Linked DNA regions of Drosophila melanogaster. The protein of the gene in region 1 purifies or fractionates together with the protein of each later gene. This does not show direct contact. Each region holds a gene or a part of one and is shown in the gene's direction. Other genes may lie near its edges.

Region 1 (3,924 bases):
TAATGAAGCAATACTATACTCGTGCTTAGTTTCCTTGCAACTACATATAAGTACTTTTAGTTGGACAAAGCAAGCTAAACAGTGAGGAATTCCTTATTATCATTGCCTGCGAACAACCTTGGCTGCTGATGATGATCAAAGTTTCAAGGGGATCTGGTCGATTGCGCTGATACCTGTGTAATATCCATCCATTGCTTTGCCTCCTCAACGGTGTTAAACTCGACAAACGCTATACCGCGTGATGAATCTAAATTTTCGGATAGAAGCAGATACAAAATGTTTTCGTCAAAAAATGTTGAATGTTTCGATAGGTTTGTAACATTTTTGTGGACTATTGTATTCTTTTCGATTCATGTGGCCGGTTAAATTCGATTGGTACTTGTACACTTCGCCTCCATTAGCGCGAAGCCGCTCCAACTTTTTGGACCTACTTACGTCTGACGCTGAAAGAACAAAGTCAGTGATTTCGTAACCCACCTGTTCCCTGCTTCCGGATAATGCGAATGCACGCTGGCTCCATGTTCACCTTTATCAGCTCGCTCATAATCTAAAAAAAAAGTTAGTTCATGAGTAATTAAAGGAGTTGCATTTGCCACTCTTCTGCTTGGCTTACATCTGCTCTGGTCATTTCCTTGGTAAGACCGAAGATTATAATAATATTGAGGGCTTCAGTGGTGGATCGGTATTTGTTCCTGCGCATGTGGCCTTCATCGCTGTCGTAATCTGAGGAGCCCCTTCTCTCACGATCCCGATCTCGATCTCGATCACGTTCACGGTCTTGCTCCCTATCCCGATCTCGATCTCGATCGCGATTATGGTTGCTGCCACCGCCGTTGTACATGCGGTGATCTCGGTGGCGCCTGCACGGTCCGATTTATTATTTAGCCTGAAGTGTATGTATACTTTATACTCACGTGTTTCGCTCGTTGCTTCTGCTTCTGTCGTCGTGATTGTTGTTTCTGTTCCAGGGTCTGCTGTGTTCCCTGCTCCGACTTCTGTTGTGATACCAGTCCCTGTCCGTGGAGCTACGATCACGTGAGTCCAAGTCGCGGGAGCGCTGTTCGTACTCGTAGTCGTTTAGCTCCCGATCGCTCTCGCCATCTCGGTCCCGATGCCGACGGTCGAAGCTATCATGTCGCCGGAACTGACGATTCTCAAAGTTGCTCCTGGAGTTGTAGTTGCGCTCATCCTGATCCCTGTAGTCGTCGTTGATCAGGCTGTGGTAAAGGTCGGGGTCCCCGTTACCAGCTCCTCCTCGACCACCGCGATGCTGATCGTTTCTGAACACGGGCGACCGATCCCGATCCCGACTTCGAGAGCGAGAGTTCCGGTGCCTGATTCCTCCATGGCTGCGGTTGCGCTCACTGAAAAGGGTACACAGTACTAATAAACACGATCGCATTACGCTGGTAGGGTAGAATTACCGGGAACGCGACCTGGATCGACTGTATCGAGACCCCGGCCTGGATCTATAGTAGTCGCTGCCCCGTCCACCCTCGTTTTCACTTCCACCAGAAAAACTGCGCCGACTACTCGAGTCCATTGCCGACTTGCTTTGGCATAGACGCTGGGCAGGCACCAGTGGCAATAGAGCTTCGATGCGGAATCCTTCACGATCTGTTTGGTAACTTAGCCTTAATATTTTTATCCCGGTTCCTTATGGAGGACCACCGTATCTTTTTTCTCAAGAATACTCGATGTGCCATTCGCAGCGAAACGCCGATAATTCTCTAAAGCTAGAGATGGCCCTTTTATATTTATGTATTTTGCAACGAAAGATGGCTATATATTTTTAAGCATTAAAAACTCTAGGTTCTAGACCATAACATAATTATAAAGTTTTTTTTAACGAAAACTACTCTTTTCTTAAAAAACAAACATTACATTAGCTATCAGCAATAACAGTGCTCTTGTCTGACTGCTCACCAACCATCCTTAGGAGCAGTGTTGAGCAGCGTCCGAGTGCCGCTACTTGCCATTCCGTGCAGCGTGTCGTGGGGAAAAACCAATTAGTTTTTTTTTGATCGTCCTAAACTTGGAAGTCCCACGAATTCAATCACTAGCTGACGGCCTTATCGCTGGTAGATATTGCGAGATCGAGCAGTGCATTGTAAAACGGCCACGATGAAGAAGGTTCTATTGACCAAAGCCCAGCACATCCAACCAGTCGTCGCTAGTAGTTCGGATGTTTTGGTGATCAAACCAGTCGGTTCCCTGCGAGTGATATCCATCTCAGCGCCACATAGTGCCTCTACCTACATCCAGCGCAAGTCCTTCCAGCCCGTCTACGAGGACATCTTCAAATTACTCATGAAAATCCCAGACAAAGCCCTTACCCAAAGGGTGATCGACGCGATAAACGAGAGCAATAATAACGATAAGGTCGCTATCTCCAATCACGGTAAACAATGTTCGTGCGGAGTCCAAAAAGTCGATTCATCTACACAAACGGATTGGGACACCGAGGAAACGCATATGCCTGGCATTACAAATAATTCATGCGAAGCCAAAGGGAATAGGCATAGCCACATGACCAGTTCAAGTTCCGAACCTATAAAACCGCCAGTAGATCCGACCAAAGTTCCTAAAAAGCGCGGTAGAAAGCGAAACACCTGCGTGCCACAGGTGGTCAAGCGATCAGCGGCTGAGATGGCGCTTAAGGAGCGCGAGGAGAAGCAACTGACGCCCGTGATCACTAAACGGAAGAAAAGGGATGTCACCGTAAGTACAAGTATTATTATGATGTAGTAGTTCCTCCTGGAAAGTACTAAGTTCATAAATCTCGAATGGAAATATATATACGATTTTATTATAAATATCTTTCTTACAGCAAGCGCAAAACTTCGAATCATATCAGATCACGAATAAAACCCCTGTACGCCGAAACTCTACCTTGTCGGATATATCGTTCAACTCCGATGAGTTGACCCGGGTGGAAAACTTTATAAGCGGAAACACCGAGGACCGCATTATACGCATCATGGCCAACGAATTCAGAAAGTCGCACATAATGTCCGAAGAAGGATTGCTGTAAGTATTCATTTAGCCGAATAAGACCATCATCATCGTAATGATATCATCTTTTCACATGGCACTTCAGACCCATTCACGAGGAAATACTGCACGGCGATGTTTACGGCGTTAAGCGTCAGATATTTGTGTGCTGCCACGCGAAAATGGACATCAACGAACTACTCACCAGGGACGGCGAGGACTGCCTGGAACTTGCGCTGACGAACGACACGGACACCGAGATTGTATCGCTCATCCTGGACGCTCGCATGATGACCGACCACCTCTACGAGAACTCAAACACAGCTCTTCATCTGGCGGTGATAAACCATATAAATATAGAGTCCATTAGGCTGCTGTTGCGCAGAATCGATTTGAACAGTCTTCTGCTAACCAACGATGATGGTTATACAGTTTTGCACCTGGCAGTGCGCAATAACCAGTTCCTTGTTGTCGAGGCAATCCTTGATAGTATAGACGAGCGCGAGCTGGGGGAAACGGTGTACAGGAGAACCCTGGAGGCAGCGAATCCGAATGAGTGGGACGAGAAGGGCTTCGCCAAGTACTACGATCGTGCCTGCGAACGGCTGGAGCTGAACAAGACGTTGCTAAAGAACCGTGCACATAAGCGGGATGTCATCAATGCATCCGAGGCGAGGGGCGGAAACCCACCGCTTTTCTACGCCGTGGAAGGGGAGCAGGGTAGGTTGCTGTCTATTAGTATATTAGTAGTTGAAGAAGTCCGATTAAGCTTTAAAGTTTCCTATTTGTACAGAACACTTGTGCTACTTCCTGCTTGCGCACTTGGCCGATCCCGACGAGGAGAACTTAAGCGGGCATTCCCCGAAATCGTATCACTACGAATACGCTCGCACGTTGCGCATCAACCTGAAAGTGGCGCGCGTCATGGAG
Region 2 (3,924 bases), on another chromosome or scaffold:
CACACACGCACCTTGCGAAATCCCCCCATTGAGAGCACCAGGCTTCAGCTCCACCTCTGCCCTGCGTTACCCAAGAGACCTGGTCGAAGTATGATTGCTTCGAACTTTCTTTTTTCTTTTTTTTTCTAATATCACCGACATATGTTCTCCGATTTTCGTTTATGACAAATCAATACCATATTCGGCTGGTGAACAGAGAAGCGATGATCTGCTTTCTAATTTCTATAACTTGATTCTTAAACACAAGACGCCATTAAAATAACCACCAATTTTGTTACTTTGCAGATGTCCCACCTCTACTCAACATTCGCTCAATTGGTAAGCGTGCACTGCAAGTCAACAGCCGCCGTCGGAGGCCTCCCAGTGAACCAGTGCAAGCACAACCTGCTCGGTTACGGGTCCGCCAAGCTGCAGACGCTCTCCGACGTACAGCTGGAGGCACTAGATCCGTATCAGCGCGATGCCAACGAGCTGAGTAAGTGCCTCTATCTGCGTGGGAGAATGATTGATTTCCGCGTCAGAACTTCCGCAGTGCGCAGTCGCGACGTGCTCGACGTGAGCTCTAAATCTCGGTGTCGATCTAATCGCTCTTTTCTTCCGCAGTCTGGTCATCGATTATGGGGGACCATCCGAGCGGAGCCAGCCTGGTGACAACGAGGCAGCCGCTCCAACAGCCCCTGCCAACTCCTCCTGCGTCCTCTCTGATCATCCTAACGCGCCAGCAACTTCCGCACGGAGCATCCCATGCCCACCCCATCCAGAGCTCCGGCTCCGCCACCAATCCAATCTTCGAGAGCGGCGAGCAGAAGCACAAATACGCCATGGACATGGACAAGGCCTACGGCTACGGGCCGCAGTCCAGCAGTGAGCTCCCAATGGCCGCCGCACTGACTTCAGAACCGTCCAAAAGATTCCTCACCGGACCTTTGGTGATCCGGGTGCGACCCGATGGCTCCCCGGTGGAGGAGGACAAGATGATGCCACTGCCGCGGGACGAAGACCTGCCCTACTTTCATCTTGGTCTGGCCGCCGCTCAGCCCAACAGGCACCGCAAGATCGCCACAATCAGCTCCTTAAAGCAGCAGCACTTCGCCTCTATCCTGCAGAGCGACCTCCAGCCACCCCACCAGACGCAGAGGCGTCTGTTCCGCCAGCAACAGGCGTAAGATCGCGGTCAGAGGATCCGCAGGCCTAGACCTAAGTCCTTGTGTGAATGTGATAGAGCAGATGAGGAGATCCTGCATCATAGAGTGCGAGAGTGAACGTGTGAGTCTTCTAGTTGTAGCCGTTTGAGGAGTTTTCTTGAATGCACTTGAGCTTTAATGGAATTTCGTATCGTATTCGTTTAAGTTTTTTTAATTTTATTTATTCGCGTGCATTAGTCGTAAGATCACATAGAGATTCTTGAGTAATAAACCGCATGATGATTATCATTGTTACGAACGTATTAATTCTAAAATGTGTGGATTGGGATGGAAATGAGGATGGGGATGCGGTCTGTGCACATAGCCAGGAACCGGTTGGTTATGGTAATACGAAAGTCGCATCTCGGCCAGCCACCAGTTCCTTGTCGCGAGCTCCACTCACACCTATATTTAACACGCGAAAGCCTTATTAACCCACATCTACAGAGTTGAGCCGAACAATGGAGGTACTGAATCCGGTTTGGCGGGTTCAGAACGCACTGCGCCGTCCATTAGAATTTGCGAGTTTTGGCAATTACATTTCGGTGTAATTTCGCTGGCAACTGGTTTGTCAGGCTCAGGCCTTTAGGACGCGCCCATTAATCTCAGCTGAGCAACAAAGGAAGGTAAATTGGGATGCACGTCACTGGGCTTGAATAAATGATGCCGGGACTTTCCACCGCCCTTGCAGTGCAAACTGCACTTCATATGCACGAGTTTTGGGCGTGTAATCAGTTTTATTGAAATTAGCTGCTTTTAAATTTAGATAGACGAGCTCGCCGATTGTCGATAACATTTCCGATTATGACAATATGACAATCAATGACACAAAAAAAGGCACATTTGAAACGATTGCGGTCACACTGGTCTAAGTTGTTTGGTAAATTAGTTAAAAGTAAATATTACTCCGAAAACAATTTTATTTCCTTAAAGCTTGTCAGCAAAGCAAAACGAGATAAGGAACGCAGTAGTATATAAGGTATATATGCAATAAACATGACAATTGCTTATTCCATTGTGACGCGTCGATGTAATTCCCACGCCTAATGAATCATTGCCCTAAAACTCATTTATTATACATTTATCCTTACTATTGCCGATATCAAATTAATCGATTTGGCTAATACTTTGCCGTCTAGTTTTCGAAAGAGGGGAATTCCCTCACCTGCGTTCACAGTCGTAAAATCTGATTATTAATACCCGCCATTGCTACCGCGACAACGGAGACATGTCGGACGAAGAGTCATTCGTTATCTTGGGTAGCTCGCCGTGCTCCTCGCTCATGCCGGACAGTTCCTTGCGGTCCGACGTATGTGGTAACGCGCAGGAGGCGAAGGAAACCGTTGCCTCTACGAGCACTCAGCCGCCAACAGTGAACTGTATTCCAGTCAGCATCACTGCATCGCAGCAGCAGCACAAATCGCTGGATTCCGGATCTTCCCAGCAACAATCCCTGGCGACCAGCTTCATTATGGGAGAAATTCAATCCGATGTCCTGAAGGTGAGCGTCTGGTTACCGTCTGGTCTGTTTAAATTCTAACAACAGTCTCTAAATCCAACCACAGAACAGTGTTTATTCGCAGTTTCCCAGCCTCTGCTCGTTGCAGGGCTCCGCAGAGGAAGTAGTTAAGCTGCAGAACATGATGACCGAGTACCTCGCGCTAAAGAGTGAGCATTTTTTTCCCGTAAAGTAATATACAGCAATAATATGCCATTATCCGGCCAGGCACACTTGACAAGGTCAACCAAACCATGCTGAACTACCACAACCTGACTCAACAATGGCGCCAGGAAGCCGCCGACCGAGAACACCAGTACAAGGAGCATGTGAAAGAGTGCCAAGCGCAAATCGCGATCCTTCGCGTGGAAAACCAAGAGCTGAAGAGGGACCTAGAGACGAAAATCGAGCAGATTGAAGGGGTTCATACCATCAGGCTAAAGGAGCAGGATGAGCTTCGTAAGAGCGTATCTGAGAAACAGTCCCTGATCGACAACATGCGCGTGGAGATTGACAAACTGAAACAGCTAAATGTATGTCTACCAGTTGCTCCAAGCGATAGGGCAAATACTTGCATACAGACTCGCAATCATTGCTATTCTGCATTGTAAACTGGACAGTATCTCTTTAAAATATTCTCTTCCGGGCTCGCACCCTTTTTCTTCTGTTATTTCAGCACTCGTTTGAGTTCGTACCAGAGTATGCAACCGAATCAAAATCCCAGGAGCTGATAAAGAAAATGCAGCTGGATATTAACGAGCTGAAGGCCAGGGACATCCAGAAGCAGGAGGTGATCAAAGGTCTACAGATCCAAAACGATATCTACCGCAGGGACTTTGAAATGGAGCGGGCAGATCGCGAGAAGAATGCCGGAGAGAAAGATCAGTATCTTATGGACTTGCGATCATTGCAGAGGAGGAACCAGGAGCTTATCGAAGCTCTGGCCGAGTCCCACAAGGCAAGCAAGGCGTGCTCGACCGCTTCTCCGCTGAGTTCAAGCAGAAGCAATTTGCGAGAGGAGCAGAGACCAGTAAGAGTACGCTGATTCCAAAGTCCATAAATGTCAATACTAATTTTTGTATCGGTAGATTCTCGACCCAACAGGCGCCTCATCCCGGACTTCAGACACCACTTTGCGATGTCCGATCTGTTCAAAGTCCTTTAACGCCTTAAGCGTGCTTCAGAGTCACGTTAACGATTGTTTGGATAAAAACTAAGCACAATTTCTTACCATATTAATAA

The links.
Region 2: the proteins of Charon (region 1) and key purify together in Drosophila melanogaster (affinity purification with mass spectrometry, with the first as the bait; one large-scale study listed by BioGRID). This does not show direct contact.

What each region holds. Positions count from the first base shown.
Region 1 is NT_033779.5:1,170,820-1,174,743, reverse strand, and holds the start of Charon (charon), read left to right. Parts: upstream 1-1,938; 5' UTR 1,939-2,124; coding exon 2,125-2,721; intron 2,722-2,830; coding exon 2,831-3,030; intron 3,031-3,100; coding exon 3,101-3,714; intron 3,715-3,787; coding exon 3,788-3,924. Other genes in the region: CG4887 (uncharacterized protein), read right to left, coding at 174-247, 478-547, 614-860, 915-1,364, 1,425-1,543.
Region 2 is NT_033778.4:24,785,530-24,789,453, reverse strand, and holds the start of key (kenny), read left to right. Parts: upstream 1-2,042; 5' UTR 2,043-2,163; intron 2,164-2,323; 5' UTR 2,324-2,412; coding exon 2,413-2,685; intron 2,686-2,749; coding exon 2,750-2,852; intron 2,853-2,910; coding exon 2,911-3,215; intron 3,216-3,358; coding exon 3,359-3,718; intron 3,719-3,770; coding exon 3,771-3,899; 3' UTR 3,900-3,924. Other genes in the region: Reg-5 (rhythmically expressed gene 5), read left to right, coding at 286-475, 604-1,166.